3 linked regions of the Alligator mississippiensis genome follow. The protein of the gene in region 1 interacts with the protein of each later gene in a pairwise test. Links are inferred from orthologs where the notes say so. Each region holds a gene or a part of one and is shown in the gene's direction. Other genes may lie near its edges.

Region 1 (7,699 bases):
CAGCACATGTATAGCTAGTTTCTGCTTTGATTTTCTTGTTGAAATGAAGTGTATACATTGCAGTTACAGGGTGTGTCTACATGAGATTTTTACTGTGCAGTACACTAATTAGCTGCACAGGAAACGTCTCACGTCTACACATGCACCCCTGTTAGGCTGCAGTAAAGTCACTTACTCTGCAGCAGGATCGCATTTGTAAATACAAGTCCCTTGTAAATACAAGTACTATCCTGATGCAGAGTAAATTAGTTTACTGCAGCCTAAGAGAGGCATATGTGTAAACGCGAGGCATAAATACAAGTACTTCCCTGCTGCGGAGTAAAAAACTCTACAGCAGCACATATGTAAACACTGCCCCAGCTGCGTGGGGCATGAAGGTGCTTCAGTGCAGGGGCTGCCTGCTACCTAGCCCTACAGTGAAGCATCCTCATTCCACAGCCAGCCCCTCCGCAGCATATTGAGCCAGGTTGGAGTAGCCCCGGACTGGCAAGCTGACTCCCTAGGCCCCGAGCCAGCTGGGGCTGCTCTGACTTAGCTCAACGTGCTGTGATTCCAGGCGTATGTGAAGACATGCACCCAGGAACAATAATCTCTGGAGCGATAAGCTCCGGAGTTTATTCATATGCATTAATATGCAAGTGTAGACATGCTCACAGAAGCTTGACTCTCCTTTTGCAGTACCCCTATGTTTCTCTTTCCCCTACTTGTTCTTGTATTAGCTTCTTTATCCACTTTTGCATGATAACTACTTTTATTTGCATATTCCTACACTTTGCAAATTAGAAAAAACTGATCTAAATGCTTAATTTAGAAATGAATGTCTAATGTCACTATGTCACTAATGAAGCTTTTCAAAATAAATTCTCTTTACATTTTATGAGAGAGAGAGAGATGGCCTTGTCCTGTATGTGAGTTCTAGGTAAATATATTGCAAGATAGCCTTTTTCAAATGTGAGAAAAAGGAGACCAAGATATTTGGTAGCTTGGCTACAATTGAATGTGCATTAGTAGTGTAAGCACTGGGTCTGAAATCACTAGAGTTTATATTACTTGATATTTTAAGCACTTTTGATTTATATGAGTTAAGTAAAGGCATTGTAGCAAGCAGATGTGGGCTAAATTAACCATTTAGTTAATTATATATATCTTTAATGTGCAGACTGTAAGTGGCAATTTGTGTTTTAAAAACTACCCACATAAATGTTAGCAAATCACATAATTATTTTCAGGATGTTTGTAAGATGGGCTACTGTGCCCATTTTTTATTAAAAACTGTGGGATCTGAAGCAAAAGTGCCAAGTACGAGTATTAGGTATATTTCCCAGATGGGAAATCTAAGAATCAATAAATCAGAGTGACCAGGCTGGATTTGTACATAGCAGAATAAGCTCTGGCCTCTAAGCACAAAGACCTTGTTTCAAATACTGGGTCTTTAATTTTTGTGTGTGCAAGATTGTGCACAAAACCTTTTAAACGTGTTACACCTATCTGTAAAATATGACCTACAACTTTACAAATTGCTTTGAGATTTACAGAAAATAGTAAACGTATAAAATATTACAAGTTATTAGAAACTTTTCACCAGTCTTATGTTCTGGAGCCTATACTACCAGCTGCAAAGTAAACGACTTTTTTTCAAAAAATAATCTCCTGAAACAAACTGCAACAAAGAAAATCTGGGGGCAACTTCTTTTCAGGTTTGGCGGTGTCCTGAAACAGAAGTTGCTTAGTCCAACCCCCTAGATCCTCACTGAAGAGAGCCACTCCCACTTCCCTTACATTCAGGTGCGGTAACAAGCTCACTTCTAGAGTAGCTGTCAGGGCTTGCTAAGCCCCTTTGCAACAGAACAGGTACCTTCTAGGTAGGCTGGGTGTTGTAGGAAACACTGACAACTGGTTACAGCTTAAATTTCTTTGCAGATACTCTGCATCAGTTGCATAACTGTTACTGGGTAGGTAAAGTTAAATTTAACTTCCATGTTTTCATCCTTCTTTTGTACCCTGCCCTGCATGCCATCACTGCAGCTCCATACACTCGCCTATACAGAGCTGATACGGAGACTTTGAACCAAAGTGTAATAAAGGGGAAAAGACGGGGTTCTGTACTATTGTTTTCACTTGTTGTACCACACAAAACTTCCAATGCCGTTTAGCAAATAGTTGTAAATGATGGAATTTATCTTTAGTTTTCTAACCCCCTGCCCCCCATGGCCAATTGAATGAAAATGCCATTTGTTTTTGTTTTTAAACATTCAAATTTCACAGCATTGTGTTCAAAAGTCAAGTTACTTTTGTTTTTGCAACTATAGGGCAATGTAACATTTATTATATGTTGATATCATATCTTTCAAATAAAACAATATAAAATCATACAGTGTTTTAAATCAAACCTTACATGTACAAGTGTAGCATATTTTAGAAATGGGTACTACCCTCCTCATAGTAAAATTAGACATAATTCTCAAATTATGCAGTATAAGAGCAGATCATGTTAGATAATGTTGTGGTTTAAATATATCTGATATATGCCAAATGACTTTGCATGCAGTAACTAACCTTAAACTTGTAAACTGCCATGCATTATGGTCTGTGTAGCACAGCTACTGGCTCTTGTATTCAGGAAGCTGCTGAGAGCTATGCTTGCTTCATGAGCCCTCGCAAAAACTGACATGCACACTGCACATGCACATGCATGCACGCACACACACACACACACATACACACACACACACTCTTTCTTACACACATTTGCACATTTTGACATATTTTCAGAATATTTCTTAGAAGACTTTCTGTACTGCTGGGTATGATTGTCTGATCTTTTTTTAAAAAACTAGGTATGTGTTTAGTTCAGCCTTATTTAAACATTGTTATCTATTTGATCAAAGTCTACAGTCTGAAATTTGAGTTGGGAGTAGAAAGTGGGGGGAATCTATCAAGTACATATACATTGAAGTGTATGCTGCTGTGTGTATAGTATGTATGCAGAGTTCGAGCATGTTTCAGTGAAATCTTACAAGTACAGGTTATTTTTTTCTTGTTTAGCAAAAGCTCTGATATGTTATATTAATAGTTATTTTCTTTAGGTTAAACCATTTATAGTAAAGTTGATTTGAAACTAAATCATGTTAAAACTTGCAAAGATATTTCTATACTTCTTTAAACCCTATTTAATTTGATTAACATGATTTTCAAATGGTTGTCTGATGCATGTAGTTATTTTGGTATGATTTATATTTATATTAATACTCAAGCCATGTTAACTAGAGCCCTGTATTTGTGTGTTAGGTATTTAAACCAATCCATTGTACCAACTGAACCACAGACCATAATAGCATTGCTAGAGAACTTGCAACAATTTTCAGAGGTTTTCATTAGATTGGTGCGGGACCAACAGTTTCTGTTAAGTTAAAATACAATGAAAATAGATTGCCAGAAGACACGTGCCTGCCACACTTTTTCACTATAATTCTGTTTTTCTTGCTTAGTCTTAAACGTAGCTTTAAGTGGGACATTTTTATTTTATTGAAAAATTGGACCTTTTGTATTTTTTTGGATTTTCTAAATTGGTGTCTCAGTTGAAGTGTCCTAAGTGTTTATCACTAGGAAATCAGGAAGAAAATACTCCTATTCAATTTGTTAATATTCAATTCATGTTTCACATAATTAACTCTATTTTTGACCAGCTATCTGGGATTCAATATGGCAAGGTTTAATTGATGCTTTATTTCATATTTAAGCTTATGTTGCTCTGATTTTACATACTGAACAAGAAGCAGGCAGAGATGTACAGGGGAATCTTAAAGGATTTTCTTTTCTTTTTCCTCTTGCATTCAGCTGCCAGTTAAATAACAAGAATAATCATAATTCTTTTCTCCTACATAGATATAGTAGATCCATTAATTTATTTTAAATGGAGTTTTACTGACTGACTAGCTGCATACACACACACATGTACACACACATTGCACTCAGCCATATCTCAGTTACAGCATAGTCCTAGCCAGGGTCATTACAATGTACACATTACATATTTCTAGCAAACATGAAAATGAATCAAACGGGAGAAGAGATAAGCAGAGATAGATTGGAGCCTGGTGGGAAAATAAAAAGCAGTAATCTGACTGACCACGGGACTAGTCTTCCTAATTTGATATAAATACTGTTTTGCCTTAAGCACTGTAGAGCATCAGGGCCCTGTGAAGTGAAAAATTAAACAACTAATAAGAGTGAAGTAAAGTGTAGTAGAACAATTATTTGGTATCACTCCAAAACTAATTGCTTCTGAAGTGATGTTTAAACCAATGTCAGCACAAGGCAAGAGTTCCTGGCCTATGGCCAGCACCTTTGTAATGCATATTAGCTCAGATGAGAAGTACTTAAAAGTTGCAGAGAAAGGAGAGAGAGAGAGAGGGGGAGAGGGAGAGAGCTTTCTCAGTGCTAACGCTGTATTTGAATGTATGCTCCTCCTTGCTGAGATTACATGAATACCTGTGCAGTGCTGCCTTAACATGATATTTGCGGAGCCTCAGACTAGAATCTGTTCTTTTTTCAGGTGGGCTACCAGCTGCTGATCTGTCTGCTGACAATAAAAACAGATATGCCACTTGCTCGCTGCCATTAACAATGACCATGACCCTTCACACCAAAACCTCTGGAGTTACTCTGCTGCACCAGATTCAAGGCACTGAACTGGAGACTTTGAGCAGACCTCAGCTGAAGATTCCCCTAGATCGATCGCTCAGTGAGATGTATGTGGAGAGCAACAAGACAGGCATTTTTAACTACCCAGAAGGCACCACTTATGATTTTGCCACTGCTGCTCCAGTGTACAGCTCTACTAGCCTCAGTTATGCCCCTACTTCTGAATCATATGGATCCAGCAGTTTGGGAGGGTTTCATTCACTGAACAATGTCCCTCCAAGCCCAGTGGTATTCTTACAAACTGCGCCCCAGCTCTCTCCGTTCATTCATCACCATAGCCAACAAGTACCGTACTACCTTGAAAATGATCAAAGCGGCTTTGGAATGAGGGAAGCTGCCCCTTCAACTTTTTACAGGTAAATCTTGCTCTTGCCTTATTTTAATGTGCTACGGAGTGCAAATTAGAATTGAGACACACATATATTGAATTGGCTCTTTTTATAAAAGACTGCATAATTTGATTAGTGGAGAGATAGGCAAATTATTAGACTATAAGCGATAGCATGATATAAAACAAAATGGCTGGTGTTTGGCAATAGCGTGATCGGTGGTGTAAATGTTAAAAACTGTATGCATGGGAAAAAAATGAACAGATGTATGCCTGGGGAAAGCAAGCCTAAACTCAGAATCTGTAAATGAACGAAAACGTAACAAACAAACCGTGAATGAAAGTAAGAGTCTGAAATATATTAGAAAGGAATTTATCACTTTTGGTCAAGTTTGAATCCCACGTAAGTTTAGTTGTTTGTGTTTAGCACTGTTTGGAAAGTGAGAGCGTATTTTTGCGGTTCTCTCCTCAGCGTCTTGTTTCAGTCTCCCCCCTCCCCCCCAATAGTAGAATACATTTAGAGCAGTTAGGCTAAAAATATCCCATTTCAGAGCAAGGGGGAATATATTGCATTCCCATTAATATTTTTGCACTTACTAAGACATATAACTATTTTTTTGGATGAGGTGGTGGAATGTGGCTCACACTGTAGCTGCAGAGAATTCATAAATGTAATATCTCATATAGAATGTCATTAAGAGATGCCAGGTCTCCTGTGTCCCTTTTAACGTGGAAACAACAACAAAATATCCCGTGAAACATAATGGAAATGTTTTGCCTTATTGTAAAAATTCCAGGAATGCAACTCACTCATCTCAATTTTAATGTTTGTATGGTACTATGGGTAACATAGTTTTGTGGCAGAATATTGTGTTAGATTATGGTGAGTTGATGTTAAAAGCTGTTTTTTTCCTTTTCTGATATATGTCTGAGTCAGTTTATCTGGGAAGTGAAGGTCAGATCGCTAGCAACAGAGTGCAGACTTAAGGAAAACCGCTGCTCCAGTTTAGAAACTCAGAGTTTACCACTGTTTATCATGTTGAATAGTACTTTATGTCAGTGGGACTGTTCATAGCTTAAAGTCATATTCAGCCCAAGTAAGGATGGCAGGATCTGGCCCCCAAACAGGCGAAAAATAGCAGTTAGTGAAAAGGATGTGTTTATCAGGTGGAACAGAAAACAGCACAAAGTTTGGCAGAATGAGAAGTACCAATAATGACAGGACAATCATACAGAGTAAGCTGGCTCACTTGATAAGCTGGATTCATTCAAATAAAATATATTTTAATATACCCAACAGCAAAGTTATATTTATAGAAGTAAGGAATGCAAGCCATACTTGCATAATGTGGGGATGTATCTTGTAAACCTGTAACTCTGGAATAGGATTGAATGGTCATTTTGGACAAGCAGTTTAACATGAGCTTGCATTATTATACTGCTGGGCCAAAAAAGGGCTAATGAGATCTGTGGGCACCTAAAGAGTAATACTGCTACTGGAATGCTGTGTCCAGTTCCAGTGTCTATAATTTGATAAGGCTTTTCGCAGTTTGGAAAGGGTGCAGAAAACAGCCACAAAACTGATTGGAGAGCTGAAGAAGATGCCACATTGTGAGAAATTGGAGCTAATTAGAGCAATTAGGTTATTGAGAAGAAGGTTGAGGAGCTGTTCACAAAGAATCAGTCCCCCCAGAGGGAGAGAATATTGGGTAACAAAGGGTTCTCTAATATAGAGCAGACATGTGTGATAAGAACCTGTGGTGGAAGCAGAAACTAGATATAAATAGGAAATAATGCACTCTTGTCATATTGAGCCTGATTAACCATTGGGTTAACCATGGACAACCACTGGATTATTCATAAACTGCCAAAGAATTGGTGAGTTTTCTGTTTCTGGATGCTTCAGAGCAGCATTGGATGCCTTTCTGGAGGATCTACTTTAGTCAAACACAAGTTACTGTGCTGAGTAGATTAATTAGGTGATGTTTAATCACCTGTGATATACAGGTTGTCAGACCAAATGATCTAATGGTTCTTTCCAGCCTTAAATTCTATAAATGCACCTTTTCACATGGTCAGAGCAGAGTGTAATGATGAAGTTTCTACTATAGTAAAAGTTTGATTGACTGAAGTGTGATTGTCTATACTGATGACCTTACACTGACAGCCGTCTGAATGACTTGAATTAAATTGGAAAAAGCACTGCTGTTTCTGTATCTGTAGGGTTGGTCTTAACAAGGCATAGCTCTGAAAATGTTATAGCTCTTTACATCTTCCTTGTTTTAGCATAAGTCTCAATCATAAATAGCCCATTAAACAAAATAATTGTAATAGGTATGCAATTTAAGGAGGCATATAAAGATAAAATCAGGGGTTGAAGAACTAGCACTTCCAAAAAGAAAGAAGTGGACAAATTTCACCCATTTTTGCCTTGATTTACTTATTGGACTAGCAGTCCCATTGACTTTAGTGGGAATAGTTGTGTAAAGTGAGCAGCAGAACAGTATGACCTGGCATGTATAAACTTAACCTGGGAATTAGAAGAAAATGTGAAACTACCAGAGTAGTGAGGATTTACAAAAGCTTTCCAATAGTCATAGTAAAGGCAAAAAACTTAATTACTTTTAAGATGGAGCTTAATCAATTAATAAGAAGTGTCATATGGTG
Region 2 (7,736 bases), on another chromosome or scaffold:
ACTGTAACTTTTACTGTCAAATAAGCCATGTTTAATAAAGACGGAATCTTGAAACAATTTGCCTACACAGGCGAGTAGGGCGCAATTGGGTTCTCATCTCCATTCCCAAAATACCAACACATCCTGCCTGGTATGTGTGGCATAATGGGAGGCATACTAAATAGGACTGGTGCTCAAGTCCCATGGTGCCTTGTCTATCCTCAGCCTGAAGCCCTTTATAAATTATTGGTGTGGTCTAAAAATGTTGTAGAGTAAAAATACACGGAGGGGAAAATAGAGTAAGGTGGTCTTCTCCAGAAGAATCCTAAGCATAGAAAGTCCAGGTTGGATGAATGGACTGTAAGGTGGATAGAAAACTAGCTGGATCATCAGGCTCAAAGGGCAGTAATCAATGGCTCAATGTCTGGTTTGCAGCTGGTACCAAGCAGAGTGCCCCAGGGGCTGGGGCTGGTTTTGTTCAATATCTTCATGAATGACCTGGAAGATAGGATAAAGTGCATCCTCAGCAAGTTTGCAGATGACACCAAGCTAGGGGGAGTAGTAGATGCGCTGGAGGGTAGAGCTAGGATTCAAAGTGACCTAGACAAATTGGAGGATTGGACCAAAAGAAATGTCATGAAATTCAATAAGGACAAGTGCAAAATCCTGCACTTGGGATGGAATAATCCCATGCACTGGTAAAGGCTGGGGGCTGACTGGCTGGGCAGCAGCTCTGCAGAAAAGGACCTGGGGGTTACAGTGGACAATAAACTGAATATGAGCCAACAGTGTGTCCTTGTTGCCAAGCTAACAGCATAGTGGGCTGCAGTAGTAGGAGTGTTACCAGCAAATTAAAGAAGTAATTATTCCCCTCCATTTGGTACTGAGGCCACATCTGGAGTACTGTGTCCAGTTTTTAGCCCTCCACTAAAGAAAGGATGTGGATAAATTGGAGAGGGCAGCAAAAATTGTTAGGGGGCTAGGGCACATGACTTATGAGTAGGCTTGGCAGGATTCAAGTTTATTGATAAACATAGATAAGCAGGAATTTCACCTGACAATCACAGGCTGATGGAAAAAAATACTTCTGTTGGTAATCATCAATATTTATAGAAAAAGGAAGAAAAAAATCAGGGATGGGAGTAAGGAAATCTGGGGCAGCAGATGCCATGCATGTATACACACAGAACCTCAGTTGTGCCACCCATGCACTGCTCCTCTGGCAGCAACTCGGACAGCCACTGCAGGAGCTGGAGTTGTGCTGGGAAGGGCAGGTCTGTTGGCAGCTGGGAGCCCAATGCCACAGGCTGCTTGCTCGCCCAGGTCCCAACCAGGGATCAGGTGCCAAACTCTTGGTGAGCCCAGGCCAGCCCATGTAATTGGGGCAAGGGCCAAACCTCTGCCTAGCCAGGGATCTGGGTTTTCCATTTCCCATGGAAAAATGGGGTAAACCGCGGATTTTACCTTTTACTGGAGCCAAACACGGACTTCTCATTTTACCAGAGAAACCTGCGGATTTTGCAGTTTTGAGGAGCCCTCTGCAGGATAGCAGAGTTCCAGCCTGGAGGGTGTTAGAAGGGAGTGTTGGAAGAGGGTGGTCAGGCAGGGGGCACCATGTACATATATGCACATGGCTGCCATGCATTCTGGAGAGCAGCTCCTGCAGGTAAGTGTGGGGGAGAAGGTGGGGATTGAGGCCTCCGTAGGGAGGGAGGGAGTTGAGTGGGGCTGAGGCTGCATACTTGGGGCCCAGGGCTGCAATGTGCAGCCGCAGGGCCTCAGCGGGGAGTGGGACAGGGCCACAGGCTGCTTGGTATGGGGTTTGTAAGAAAGAAGTCACCCAACAGGCAAATCACATTTTTGAACACTTGAACAACAAGACTCATTTGAAATTAAAAGCAAGTCAAACAAAAACAACACAGGTTACGATGGAAGCCTGTTTGGGAAGAATGAGACAACGGAAGGAAGAAGCAGCGGATTTCCTTCACGATCTGGTATGCATGTTGTGCTTTTTGTATTAATGTGGCCCAGGGTTCATGCTATTTATTTGCTCTGCTTCACAAATATACACCAGCACATTGTACTTGCTCAGAATGTTGTCAGCTGGAAGAAAAATACTTATCTGAAGTTTGCACCCACTGCCAACCAGGGATTAAAGAACTTTTGAGTGATGAGAAATTTTCTTTAGTAATTGAAGAAACCCCTGAGCTTGCAGGACAGCCAGCAATTAACACCCTTGCAGTGTTCTACTGTGATAAAAATAAGTCTGTAAATAAAATTCAGTTAAAATCCTCTGTTCTTCAGTGCAATGCAGGGATCATCTCAGTTTGGATTCAAGATGTGTTGAGAGAGTACAGCCAAATGTGAGAAAACTGTGACAATCAACAGTGACTCCACAATATACACGCAAATACCTTGTGAAGGACTTGAAAGAAATGCCTCCACATCTACTGCAGTAACTGCACATTCTATGTGCATTGCTCATCTTTTGCATGTGGCCATTGATCTTGCATTAAAAACAAACAAGTTCCACAACATTAATGGATTTGTGGTACCTTTTCTAGGAATATTTAAACATCTCGACAAGCAAATGTGACCATTTTTTATAAGTCTGTGCCAGAAACAACACAAGTCCATTGGATTTGCATGTGTCCCCCCCCCCCCCTTCCCCATTGTGCAACCTCACTAGTTTTCCTGGCTTGCTGCAGCAAAATGCATTCATGCCTATTGGGACAGCGTGACAGACTTTCTTACTAAACAACAAGATGTAAATAAAGAAAACAAAACTATGCGGGATGGTCAAGGAAAATGGAAACCAATGAGAACTACTGCAAGGTATCTTTTGCTCATGTGGTTTTGGGGAACCATATTGTTCATTTGCAAATGGAAACAAATGCACCCCTGATACATCACATTAACTCTCTGCTTAACTGCTATCGACAAGTTAATGCTGATATAAATAATGCTTTGAAAGAAGAACTAGGGGACAATGCGCTATAGATAGCCACCCCTTTCATCTGCAATGAATGATTTGCTTCACAATTTCAAAGCAAACTGAAGGCAATCCTATCCTACAGTGTACCAGACACGTTATGGATTGGGATCTGCCTTTGCTAACTGTAAAGTGTTTGACCCATTTATTGAGGCTCAGATGTCACACAGTTATAGTGACTCTGAAAATATTCTGTGTATTTTCACTTGCAAGGCTGACGAGTTCAAGTACGACTTTGACCTGCCCATGGCACGTGAAATGCCATTATAGCAACACAACAGTACTTGATTATTGGAAAAGTGAGACCCATTTACTGCCTGTCATGGCCCATGTGGCATTATGTGCACTCACAGTGCCAGCAATCTCAGTGTTTGCAGAAAGATTATTTAGTTTGTTCAGAAAAGTTCAAGACAATATTGCATGCGCCTCTCTGAAGACTGACTTGAACAGCCCAACTTTTTTGTACTACAATAAAGACATAGATTTAAATTTGGAAAGCTTTTGAAATCTGGATTAGTCTGCTGGATCTAGCAAATTATGCATTCCAATAACTAACAAAAAAAGGGTTTAATTTATTAATTTTTTCACTTCTATGAATGTACTACCAAATGAACAGAATGATTTAAAGTAGGTATACTGTTCTGATTTATGGATATTTTCTTTTTATATTTTAATGTGATTTTATAAAGCTTTTAACAGTATGTTGTCATTAGGCATGGGCGGCAGATAATTTAGTCATTTCACACAACCCTGAAAAATTAAATCCATAAAAATCAAAAGAAATCATGGGCGACTGATGTCATCTTAGTCAAGGGGGACGTGTCCTGTCAGCAACCGAGGGGGGGTGGTCCCCCCATGGCCAAACCCAACCCTCAGACAACCCCTATGTGTCACCACTGAAAGAAATGCTTTAAAAATGTTTATTTTAGCTGTCGAAACTATTAAAAAATAAAAATTGAGTTCTGCCTCACTTACTTAGGAGAGGCTGAGGGAACAGGGTTTATTTATTCTGGAGAAGAGAAGACAGGGATTTAATAGCAGCCTTCAGCTACCTGAAGGGTGGCTCCAAAGAGGATGGAGCTAGAGTGTTCTCAGTGGTGGCAGATGGCAGACAAGGAGCAATGGTCTCAAGTTGCAGCAAGGGAAGTTGAGGTTAGATGGTAGGGAAAAACTCCCTCAGGAGGAGGGTAGTCAGGTACTGGAACAAGTTACCCAGAGAGGTGGTGGAAACTCCAGCCTTGGAGGTTTGTCTAGGCGGGTTTTAAAAAGCCTGGGTTGGGATGATCTGGTTGGGGCTGGTCCTGCTTTGAGCAGGGGGCTGGAGGCACGTCCTGCGCCCCCTCCCACCCCTCATTTGCTGCGCTTCTGACCGCCCTTCGGGAGCTGGCCAGTCACACGGGGACTCTGCTCCCCTCCGTTTGGATGCATTTCTGCAAAGGCTTTTGAGCAGCTCCTCACGGCAACCGGGCGTGGTTCAAGACCGCTCTTCCTTCTGGCAGCGGGGAAAGCCTGGCGAGCGGCCGTGCACAGGACCCCCACCGCTGCCCCGCCCGCGCGGAGGGCTCCTTAGTTTGCTCTGCACCGCGCGAGGGGTGGCCCTGCTTCGCTGCGCTCCCGGCCGCCGGCCGCCAGGGGTCGCTGCGGGCTGCCGCTGCCGGGGGCGGCGCGAGGCGGAAGCGGGGCCCGGGGCCGCGCGCGGGGCGGGGCGGGGCGGGGCGCGCCGGGCACCTCCCCTGTCCCCTCTGCCTCTTCCTGGCCGCGGCGGCAAGGGGCTGCGCTAGCGGCAGAGCGGCGCGGGCCCGCCATGGCGATCCGCAAGAAGAGCAACAAGAACCCGCCCGTGCTGAGCCACGAGTTTGTGGTACAGAACCACGCGGACATCGTGTCCTGCGTGGCCATGGTCTTCCTGCTCGGCCTCATGTTCGAGGTGAGCCCTTGTCCGTCCCTGCCGCCCGTGCCCGTGTCCATCCCGTGGTGCCCCGCGCACGCTCGCCCCGGCGCGGGTGTTGCTGAGCCGTCGGGGCTGTGGGGGGCGGGGCCGGGGCCGTCCGGTTACGTGGCAGTAGCGCGGCGGCCGGGGCGGGGTTGGGCGGGGAGGTCCCGGCCCCCCCCCCCGCCCTCCCGTCCGGCTCGCGGAGGGGGGGGGGGGAACGGTGGTGGTGATGACTTGCACAACGCCCCGCGCCCCCCCACCCCCACCCCGGGGCGTAGGCGTTGGGGAGCCTGGCAGGTGTCAAGGAGGCGGGTGCCCGGGACAGCGCTGAAGGCATGGGCAGAGCCCGGCGGGGGCTGAGGCTTCACACGCCCTCAATCTCCTTCTCCCAAACTGATGCGTTGCATGGGGATGCGGGGGCTCTCGTTTTGCCTCTTCTGGTTCCATGTAGTTGTTGCCTGAGGAGGCCGCAGCTCCCTCAAATTGGGCCCGAGCAGGGAGTTGGACTAGGTCAGTGTTTCCCAATGGGCGGGTTGCGAGAATATTGGAAAGGGTGGCAAAAAAACTTTAAAAATGGATTCTCCTTTAAAAGCGACACGTGGGGAAGTGTGGCTTTTCTGGTGCAGGCTGGCAGAGCTCCAGCCTGCAAGGCTGCTTGGAGGCCCCCCCACCCTGCGCACTGGGAGGCTGGGATCTGGGGGTGCAGCACGGTGGCTTAGAGTGGGGACGTTGGGTTGGAACTGGCTGTCCGTGTTTACAAATGGGCCCTGGAAAAAAAAATGACTGAGATCCTCTGGGCTAGATGACCTCTTGCGGTCCAGTCCCTTCCAACCCTCGCTTCCTATGATTCGACCTGCCCCATTGCTCCGTGGCGTTTTTGAGCAAGGGAGCTACTTTTTCCTTTGCTATCTAAATGCGGCAAGGGCAGTTTGCTTCTGATGGGAAGAGCGGATTCGTTTGGGCAAAAATCTGAACGCGGCGGCTTTTCAGGATCTGTTTTCAGCACATTGTAAGTGTTGTGTTGGCACCCAAGAGTTCCTTTTTGTTAGCATCTGTCTGGTTGGCAAATACCAGGTCTAGACTAGAAGGGATCGCATAGGTTGTTGCAGGCAAAAGGGCCCACTTGGGTTCAAAAGGATCTGCAAGAATATCTGTTCTTCTGCCCTCCCTCTCTCCCCACATGCAGACACTCCACAAACACCAGAGCTGCCTGACATAAACTGGGAGGCTCTTGTACAAAAAACTCAAGAGCCTTTCAGACTGCTTTAGCAGAGAGCAGGAGAGACAAGGACACACGTGATGCCCTGGGGTCGCTGCAGTGGCAGGGATTTTTTTTAGGTAAAATATGCCACATAATCCTAGGAATTGGAGCGTGCTACAGAAAAGCGGGTGAGAGGTAACAACTCTTGCTTGCTATGGCACATAAATCTCCATCTTATTGATATATTTGAATAGGAAGGTTGTGGTTGTACAGAGGTCCTGTTTACCTTTTTGACTGCTTTTTACTCTTCTCAAAACCAGTGGTATAGTATCTTGTTTGTGCTGTTAACTGATTTTGCTAACGTTGTAAACCTATTTGTATACTGGAATGTAAGGTGTTTTGGGGTTTTTTTTTAATTTGCTGGGGGAAGGGGGTGTAATTTGCAGTTCTTTCAGTCCCCACAAAAAGGTCAAGCTCTGACCAAGCTTTTCCAAGCTCTGTAAACTTATTTTGATATGGAACAAATACAGAGTTACCCCACTCAGTTGTACCTCAGTTGTACCTCAGTTGACCTTGCTTCCAGCACTTACTACTTTCTTCAACGTTTTATTCCAAAATGAAAGGATTTCTCAGAGTCTGTCTATACTTGTTCTCTTAAATAGGAAATGCGTATTTATGATTTTAAGATATTTTGACCTTTGTAAATTCACTGTCCAATGTCTAGGGCCAAATATTGGATGATGTAAGTGTGACTAATTGCAGAAGAGGGGATTGTTTAGATTCCTTAAATCTCTTCATTTTCAGTGTTTTAACTTCTTTATTCTTGCTTGTTTTTAAATGAAATGGTTGGGCCTGGGGATACTAGGTGGGCTCCACTGAAGCCTTTTCCAATATGGCTATTATTAACCACAGTTTTTGCTTGAAAGTTGGAACAGATCTACTTTTTTTTTTTTCTTTACTGACTACTCACTTCTCATAACTTGTTTCTACTTATCATGGTTTTACTTCTTGCTCAGCATACATAGTGTCACTGCTATAACTTCATTCCATTCACCTTGCTTGTATGACGCTTAGCAGTTTCTGAGTCTGTTAGCTATTTTCCTGAACTGGTAAACATAAAATGGTCTATCAGCCTCTTCATTCTGTTCTTTCTATTGGTTCTCTTCTCCTTTTTCATCTGTAGCATGGGTGGTGTATTTTGAAAATGGGGTTTGACCTCAGAATGGCTTTCAAAACTGGCTAACGTATTTGCCTAAAAATAGGTGAAACTGGGTTGTAGGAAACAACTGACTTCCTTCAGATTAGCTGAATCACTAAGCTAAATTAGTGTGTATTAAGAAAGGAACTGCAGTTCACATTATTAGTTTAATATAGTAGAAAGGGCTAACTGGTAAATGTGCAGTATTGGAGAAGCCTGAGAGTTGTGTTTTAAATATTCTGAAAATGCTCAGTTCCACAAATAGCCTGCCTGTATTGTATGAATTGGCTTTTGGGTAAGGCTGTTTATTCTAACTTGAAAGTCAGTCCAACGGACTCTGAGATGATAGGAAGTTTCTTTCCTTAATTTTGTCTTGAGTGTGTGTTTCTCTCCTGCCCTGCTGAGATCACATAGGTGTTTTCTGCTTAATAAA
Region 3 (7,414 bases), on another chromosome or scaffold:
ACCTTTTTAAAGCTAAGGAACTGAGGTACAGACAAATTGCATGACCTAACCAAGGCATCAAAAGAAGTCTGTGGAAGAGTGAGACAATGAATGCAGAGCTTGTGAATCTCAGCCTACTATTTACTGTACTTTTCACATTTTATTCTTTTTTGATCAGTTAAACTGTAACATTCACTTTCCCTTTTGCTTCTAATCTGTTTAATTTTCCAGTTCTTATTAGGAGTTTGCATAAGACAGGGCACAATGGAGAGCTAGGGTACAACTGGAGACTGGCCCCAGCGGTCATTACACTGAAGTAAAGGAAGGACAGATTAGGAGTGGGTGGAGGTTTCTTGGGTTTCATGATTTTATCATTTTTGAAAGCCCCTCATTTATAACATCTAGGAGCAGTTCAGTTCCTGGATGCTAAAAATACCGCGAGGACAAATCTTTTATTTCAACATGAATGGGCCCTTGAGGCAAAAGACAAGCCTGTGAAAACCTAAGCAGAAATACCAAGTTATGCGATTTTATTAATGTTTTTTTTGTAGAACACAATGACACAGCACAGCTGTGTTTTTTTATATGTAAATTAAATTATGAAATCCATTCCACTCATGCTGTGTTAGATTTTAGCATTTAAAAAAAAAAATCTAATTTTGAGAAATAAAAGCTAGTTGATACAGGCCCTTCAGACAAGTTTCTAAAAGTACATGATACAACTGCACAAGGAAATAGAGGAAGGAAGCAAATCAGTTTTATTAAGTTGTCAAATAACTTACTAAGGGATGTTCCATAGCATGGAAACTGAAAACATCTGAACTGCAAAGCCATTCAGAGTAATTAACTTGAACTTTTGTGCTCTAATTAATTATTTTAAAGCCATTCCACTATAAACAGGTTGTGGGATATGTGAGAGCAGGGAGTGAATAATCCTATTAAAATGTAGAGAATATTTTTCTCTTGAGCTAGTATGGGAAACTCTGATATCAATGGTACAAGTTCTGGTTTGCCCAGATAATGAAATATGCAGTTTGGCTGAACAGCTCACTACTTAGTTCAGATCCAGCTGGGGAAACGTTGGATGCCAAAGTTGTTTCAAATATGCTGAACAAGTAAATTCTTTTAGCTGTTTACATGACTATTTTTGTCTTTCAGCACGAAGCACTTATCTAGTATGAAAAATTTACTGTTCAAAATGGAAGGAAGGAGCTATGGGATTCAGTCTGGAGCTTAATCAGAAAAAAACATGAATTTTAAAAGGGTCCGATTCAGAAGAGACGTGTGGGTGTTTCATTATAACTTTGAGAGCACATATTTCAAGAGGGAGCTTGAAAAGCAGTTAAAAAGAAAATACAGTATGTTCAATGATACGAGTATGGGAAAGACCTGAGGCATGCTAGACCAGGAAATGATTAGGAAATAGTTGTTTAACTAGTAAGATAGGCAGCAATATATACAGTTTGAATGAATCCCACGGGGACAGTCCTTGCTGGATACATGTTAGAGTGAAGACACTGTTTGTGCTGAGTAGAAAAAACAATTACAAATACCAGAAGTAAAATGTTCACGTGATAGGACACTATTTGTAACCCTATTTTTAAATGTTTTTAAAGAGGATGACCTGTTAGGTCACGTGAAAACAGCTGAAGGATGAAACAAAATATTTAGCTAAACTTTTGTTGATTTAACAACTTATATTTATATCAGATAGGAAAAAAATGTGAACCCTCACGCTTCAGCACATTGCCTAGATTAGAAATAAACACCTTTTAGGGGTGGAGTATTTTATAATTGTGCATTATGGGGGTGTTGCACTTTTTCTCTAAAGCAGCTGTTTTTTGCCACTACTCAAGGCAGCATGTTCGGTGATTTGATCCTTCGTGGCAGTTTGCTCACTTCCAGACCAGCTCCTATATACAAGTGTGTAGCAGGCTGAACATAGAGAGTGTCGGCTTTTAATATTGCTGTAATGCTTCCCAAGTTTGCTTATGAACAGAAATTGTGCAGTTTGGATTTGCCTTTTTTTTTCCTATCCACTCTGACACCCTATTAGAAAACCAGACTCTTCTTATTCTATTACCATAAATGCCTCCCTAATGAGAACTATTTACATACAGGTGGTGACCCTGAATATAGAAAGACACTGCATTCTGTTCAAAAAGGATCATTGTAATGCTGAGTCATAAATAAAAATGAATATATTGATAACATTACAATTGATACCGCTACAATTCAGTTCTGGTCCAGTTCAAACGAGTTATCTGTCCTTAGGTATTGCCAGAATCAAAGTGAGTCCCTTAAAAGAACAGAACCTTAGACAGACCGAGCCTACAATAGTTATAGAGAACTGAAGGCTTCTTTTATATCACAGATGAATTAATCAAATGGTATTTAATCAACATGAAGTTGATACACATGTGATCAGTGTATGGTCTCAATATCCAGAGCTTGCATCAAACGCTGTATTTCTCATGCATGTTTGTTTTGAGGACAGATCTCAGACACAGAACCTACTATATTATTTGTCTCTAGAGCAGCTGGCAACTTTATTGGGAGTCTTTACTCATGTACTTGAAGATTAAATTATACTCAGACTCGTGCCAATTTAGAGAACTCAGATGGTGTCATGGCACTTACTCTAGATTTATTGCAGTTTGGGCAGAATTTGGCTTTAAATCAGGATATAATCTTGGATACTTTCTTGACCAAAGAGTAATTCCTTTAGTTTAGGATGACACACTTCAAAGCAAGGCTACTTATGCCCAGTTGTGGTGGTGGCGGGGGGAAACACAGGGGGTAGGGCTGCTTTGTTTGTAGATGTTAGTGCTCACTCTGGTAAATTTGGTACTATTAACGGGTGCTAAAATAAAAGCCCTTAAATATATTGCTTATTAATTATTCTGTGCGAGTTCAGCATTGATACTTGAAGGCAAGTTCAAAATGATTTCAACAGAACAAAATCATTTAACAGATGTTGAAGTGTTCTGTAATGTAAATAGCAAGTACAAACATATACCAGATTGGGATTATGGTTGGAAATAGCTAGGCCCCGGAGGCTATGTGCTACATAACATCCTCTCTTTGGCTTGTGTGGAGTACTAGATGAGTTTAGACATGCGGAGAGCTGGGGTCACATACACTTAATATGCCTTTCCTTTTAGCTGGCAACACGCAGAGTTTACAAAAACATTTTAACTTTCATCTGCTCAAAATCAGATTGTGTATTGAGCGTACAGCTCTGCCTACACTACCATAATATGCTTTAGGAATAAGAGCATTTACAAGAGAGAGTTGGGAGATGGTTATCTGCCGAACACGCATACTCAGAGATCTCTTTCCTCTTCCGAGAACGTGGTAACACTTATTTTTGCAAAACTTGTTACACCTCTCTATTGCTCTCCCTGAACGTATGCTTGTTTCAGAAAACATCCAGAACCCGACGATCAATCAAATAACACAATGGTTCTCCGACACGTTGAGTCATACTTGTTGAGAAATACTGTGTTGTAAGTTTATTATGCGTATCGCTGTGAGTAACAGGGCTGTCAACAGCCACGCACGTAACGAAAACCGGAGTGCTGTATAGCTGGGTGGCAAGGCACCAACTCCACACGGGAGGGGGATGGACTAGGGGCAGAAGTTACACCTAAACCGGTTTAAGTTGTCAGAACCTGGTTTAAACCTGCAATACAACAGAAGTTCGGTGCAGGTAAACCCGTTTCAGAATGGCTGAAACCGGTTTAAGATAAACCTGGTTGAACGTGGTATCGGACCGAACCGGTTCGGGTCAGACGGGTTATGAACCGTCTCTCCCGGACCCCCGAGCGCGTCGTTTTTGCGCTCTTCGACGCCGCTCTCAGCTCCGCCGCTTTCACGGACGCGGGAGGCGTTCGGCTTCGCGTCCTAGCTGCCGGTGTCAGGAGACGGTCTGGGAACCAAAACAAATCTCTTCTTCTGAAGGGGACAAGTAGTTTCTCGCCCTCCTGGCTTTCCAGAACGTGGGCCGCCGCTTCCTAACAACTCAGGTGCTTGAAGACAAAGAGAAAAAAAGAGTTTTTGTTTTGTTTTAAACCAGTTCCCCCTGCTCTTTGTGGGAGGGGTGACCCATCTTCCCCCCCTCCCCAGTGCCCAGGGCAGGGGGGGGGGGGGTCTCCTCAGGAAGGGACGACGCCCCCCTCCCTACCCCTCAGCGCTCCCTCCCCTCCCCCTTCCCGACAGGCTCCGCTCCCAGGAGCAATTCAAACCGCCACCGCCAAGCCCCGCCCCTTCCTCCCCTCACGCCCCAGCAACAGGCGGACCCGGCTCCTATTGGCCGGGCCCGTGATGCGCCGCGCTCCTATTGGCTCGCGCCGCAAGAGGGAGGGGCGGGGGGAGCCGCGGCCGTATAGAGTACGGGGAGGCGGCCGCCATTTCGTGTGGGAGCGAGCGAGCGAGGGGGCGGCCGCGGTAGGAGTCCGTGGAGCGGGGAGTGAGCGAGCGGCGGGGGTGGCTCCGCGCATAGCGGAGAAGCGGCGGGACCGGCTGCCCGAGGCTCGGTGCAGGCGGGAGAGGCGGGCGGGGTGGGCGGGGGAAGGAGCCGAGCGCGGCCGCCATGTTGTGCCGCTCTATTGTTGGGGGAGGGGTCCGTCCCGGCGCTGCCCCGAGCCCCCGGGGCTGGGCCCCGCCGCGGGCGCCGCGCCTGCGAGTGGCGCTGGAGGCTCCGCCCCCTCGCGGACCCACGAGCGTTTCCCGCACGGCCGCGGCGTCAACAAGTGGATCAAATGCTCGCATCGGAGCCCGAGGAGAGACGCGTTTCCGTGCGCTGCGCCAGGCCCTCCCTTGTTTGTTTAATTAAAATGATGATGATTATTTTGTGTGTGAAGAAACAGTAAAAACGCAGCCTCACGGAAACGAGAGCGGCTGTGCAATGGCCCTACGGAGGATAAATGGTCTTGGACGTCGTCCGTCTTTTGTTCGCGAACTGTCTTCGCCCCTTTGTCTGGGGCGAGGGAGCGTGCCCTGCCCTGCCGGGCACAGTTTCAAACCCAAGACATTTTTCAGCGATCAGCTGTTTGTTTTCTTTTTCCCCGCCCAGGGTCAGTTTTCGCTTCTCTTTGCAGCTGGGACTTCTCACCTGGAGCCTGTTTGCTGAGAATCCGATGTGGGGCTCGGCTTCGTGGCTGGACACGGCAGATCGGCCCATGAAAACGTCTATCCCCAGCCAAAGGAAGAGGTCCGGCAAAAGACAGCACCTCCTTTTCCAGGCTTGGCAGCAGAAGAGGGGACGGGAGGTGGCGGCGGTAGAGTCCGAGAAGAAGACTGAAAGGTAACGGGGAGAGCGGAGCACGAGCCGGCGTTTGGCCGTTATGTCTCGGCCAAAAGTGCTTTGGGAAGTAGCTCTTTGAAATTGCGCTGAAGAATTCAAATGCTTCTCACTCTTTTCATAGTCTCGCATCGTTATATGAGCACCCTCCAATAATTTTGCTGTGTTTTTTTTTTTTCTTTTTCCCCCCACCTCCCCAGGGAGAAAATAGCATGTTTTGATGATGATTATTACTATTATTTATTCTAATTTTAAAAAGTCATAGCAGCCTCTCTTTATTCGTGAAGGCAAGTGGCACAGGGCTGTTAGCTTGGGGGTTTGTGACTGCGGTTTTGATTGTTCTGAAGAGGTTTTTTGTAGAATTAACGCTGAAGTGACCCAGGTCACTCCACTGTTTTCTGGAAAAATAAAAGGTAGCATTCTGATAAAACAGCTGTTCTGGAATGGTCAGCTGCGGTCCCTGTGTAGAGGTTTAGGCAAAGTTCACTTATCACCGATTGTGGATGTTCTAGTTCAGCCATGAAGGGGCTGAGCTGTTTACAGCCTTTCTACCTAGCCAGCAACTGCAGACTGTATCATTCATGGATACTGCGTGAGGACTTAGTGTGAAGAAACACTCCTGGGCTGTGGACTGATTTAAGCAATCGCAGTCCGGATGCACGTTCTTGATTGAAGTGTTTCCAAAACAGGACTTGACAGTGTTTGTTCTGTGAAGCGCTGGGCTGTCTCAGTGACAATAACAGTCTTCTGTTGTGAAGGGCAGGTAGTACTAGAGGTCACCGAACTCCAAACATTTTGTTTTAACATTGGAATGCATTCATTGAATTAAGCTTGAGTTAGTTTAAAAAACAAAACAACTAAATGAAAGGCTCTCGTGGAACTTCAGTAAGTGTTACCATTCCCTCTCAAACAGGTGACATTGAAGTTGAAGATGGGTGGTGGAGAAAGATTCAACATTCCAGTTCCCCAGCCTAGAAATATTAACAAGAATCACCAACAACTTAAAAACAGGCAAAAAAGCAAAGATCAGAATTCTCAGATGAAGATTACCTATAAGAAGAAAGAAAGGGGGCATGGATGCAACTCATCATCTGTTGCATGGCAGGCCATGCAAAAAGGAGGAAAGAATGCTGTGCACTTCCAAAATAATCAGAATTGGAATCCTGCTTTATCAAGTCCCAACACACTTTTTACATCTCGAACCAATCAGAACTATGCTGGAGCAAAATTTAGTGAGCCACCTTCACCAAGTGTTCTTCCTAAACCTCCAAGCCACTGGGTACCTGTTTCTTTTAACCCTTCTGATAAAGAAGTAATGACCTTTCAACTTAAAACATTACTAAAAGTCCAGGCTTGAGAGAACTTGAAACACATTTAAAATTACAGGGTTTCAAATTTGAGAATGAGTCAAAATACATAGTTCCAAAATGCACTGTTTCTCATGAGATTGCTTTGTTGCATATAAAAGTTGTGTCATGACGAGACACGAGGACTTTTCTTGAGGATCTCAAACTTCCACCTCATTCAGGTTTGGTGCATTTTACTGTGAAAAACGTATTTACTTACCATTATGCAACCTAATCAGTTTTTTCAGTGGCTATTAATGCCTGCATTTACTGTATTGGTCTTAAATTGAACTGTTCTCAAATTTGAAGTAATGCTACTTAAAAAAGCTGGGTATCTCAGTGGGTAAGAGCTGCTGTTATAAAACCAACTTTTCTACAATGTAATGCAGCAATAGAAAGAGTATGCAACTTACAGAACACTATGAAATCTTTAGAAAACAGAACTACTATCTTTTACACTTAAAGGTCCATCAGTCACATGAAGTCTTTTTAAGGCTAATTAGCAAGGTTTTTTTCTAAGCAAGCCTCTATCTGGCTCCAGTTGTATCAGTGAATTTTTACTTGGCATTTGTCAGTCATCAGTTGACAGGGCAGACTAACATCTGAGCCTGTGACCAAGACTTTGACTTACTCCAAATTTTAGGGGAGGGGGGTGGTAAAGAAAGTCAAAGGAAATAACATCTTGAGCTTTATCAAAATATAGCAATGCATTTATCTAGAACCTGACCAAGTTGAAGTGTGCCAACTAATGCAGCACTTTGCAGTGCCAGGTGACTGCTAAAAA

Evidence for each region.
Region 2: the proteins of ESR1 (region 1) and TRAM1 interact in a two-hybrid assay, tested with the Homo sapiens proteins (2 studies listed by BioGRID). The link is inferred for Alligator mississippiensis from reciprocal best matches to the Homo sapiens genes ESR1 and TRAM1.
Region 3: the proteins of ESR1 (region 1) and PNRC2 interact in a two-hybrid assay, tested with the Homo sapiens proteins (2 studies listed by BioGRID and IntAct). The link is inferred for Alligator mississippiensis from reciprocal best matches to the Homo sapiens genes ESR1 and PNRC2.

Annotation. Positions count from the first base shown.
Region 1 is NC_081824.1:130,605,569-130,613,267, forward strand, and holds the start of ESR1 (estrogen receptor), read left to right. Parts: upstream 1-4,626; coding exon 4,627-5,060; intron 5,061-7,699.
Region 2 is NC_081826.1:61,158,571-61,166,306, forward strand, and holds the start of TRAM1 (translocating chain-associated membrane protein 1), read left to right. Parts: upstream 1-4,693; 5' UTR 4,694-4,775; coding exon 4,776-4,898; intron 4,899-7,736. UniProt on the Homo sapiens protein: Involved in the translocation of nascent protein chains into or through the endoplasmic reticulum (ER) membrane by facilitating the proper chain positioning at the SEC61 channel.
Region 3 is NC_081829.1:4,429,668-4,437,081, reverse strand, and holds the start of PNRC2 (proline-rich nuclear receptor coactivator 2), read left to right. Parts: upstream 1-4,335; 5' UTR 4,336-4,428; intron 4,429-4,603; exon of another isoform or gene 4,604-5,081; 5' UTR 5,082-5,287; intron 5,288-6,197; 5' UTR 6,198-6,215; coding exon 6,216-6,641; 3' UTR 6,642-7,414. UniProt on the Homo sapiens protein: Involved in nonsense-mediated mRNA decay (NMD) by acting as a bridge between the mRNA decapping complex and the NMD machinery. May act by targeting the NMD machinery to the P-body and recruiting the decapping machinery to aberrant mRNAs.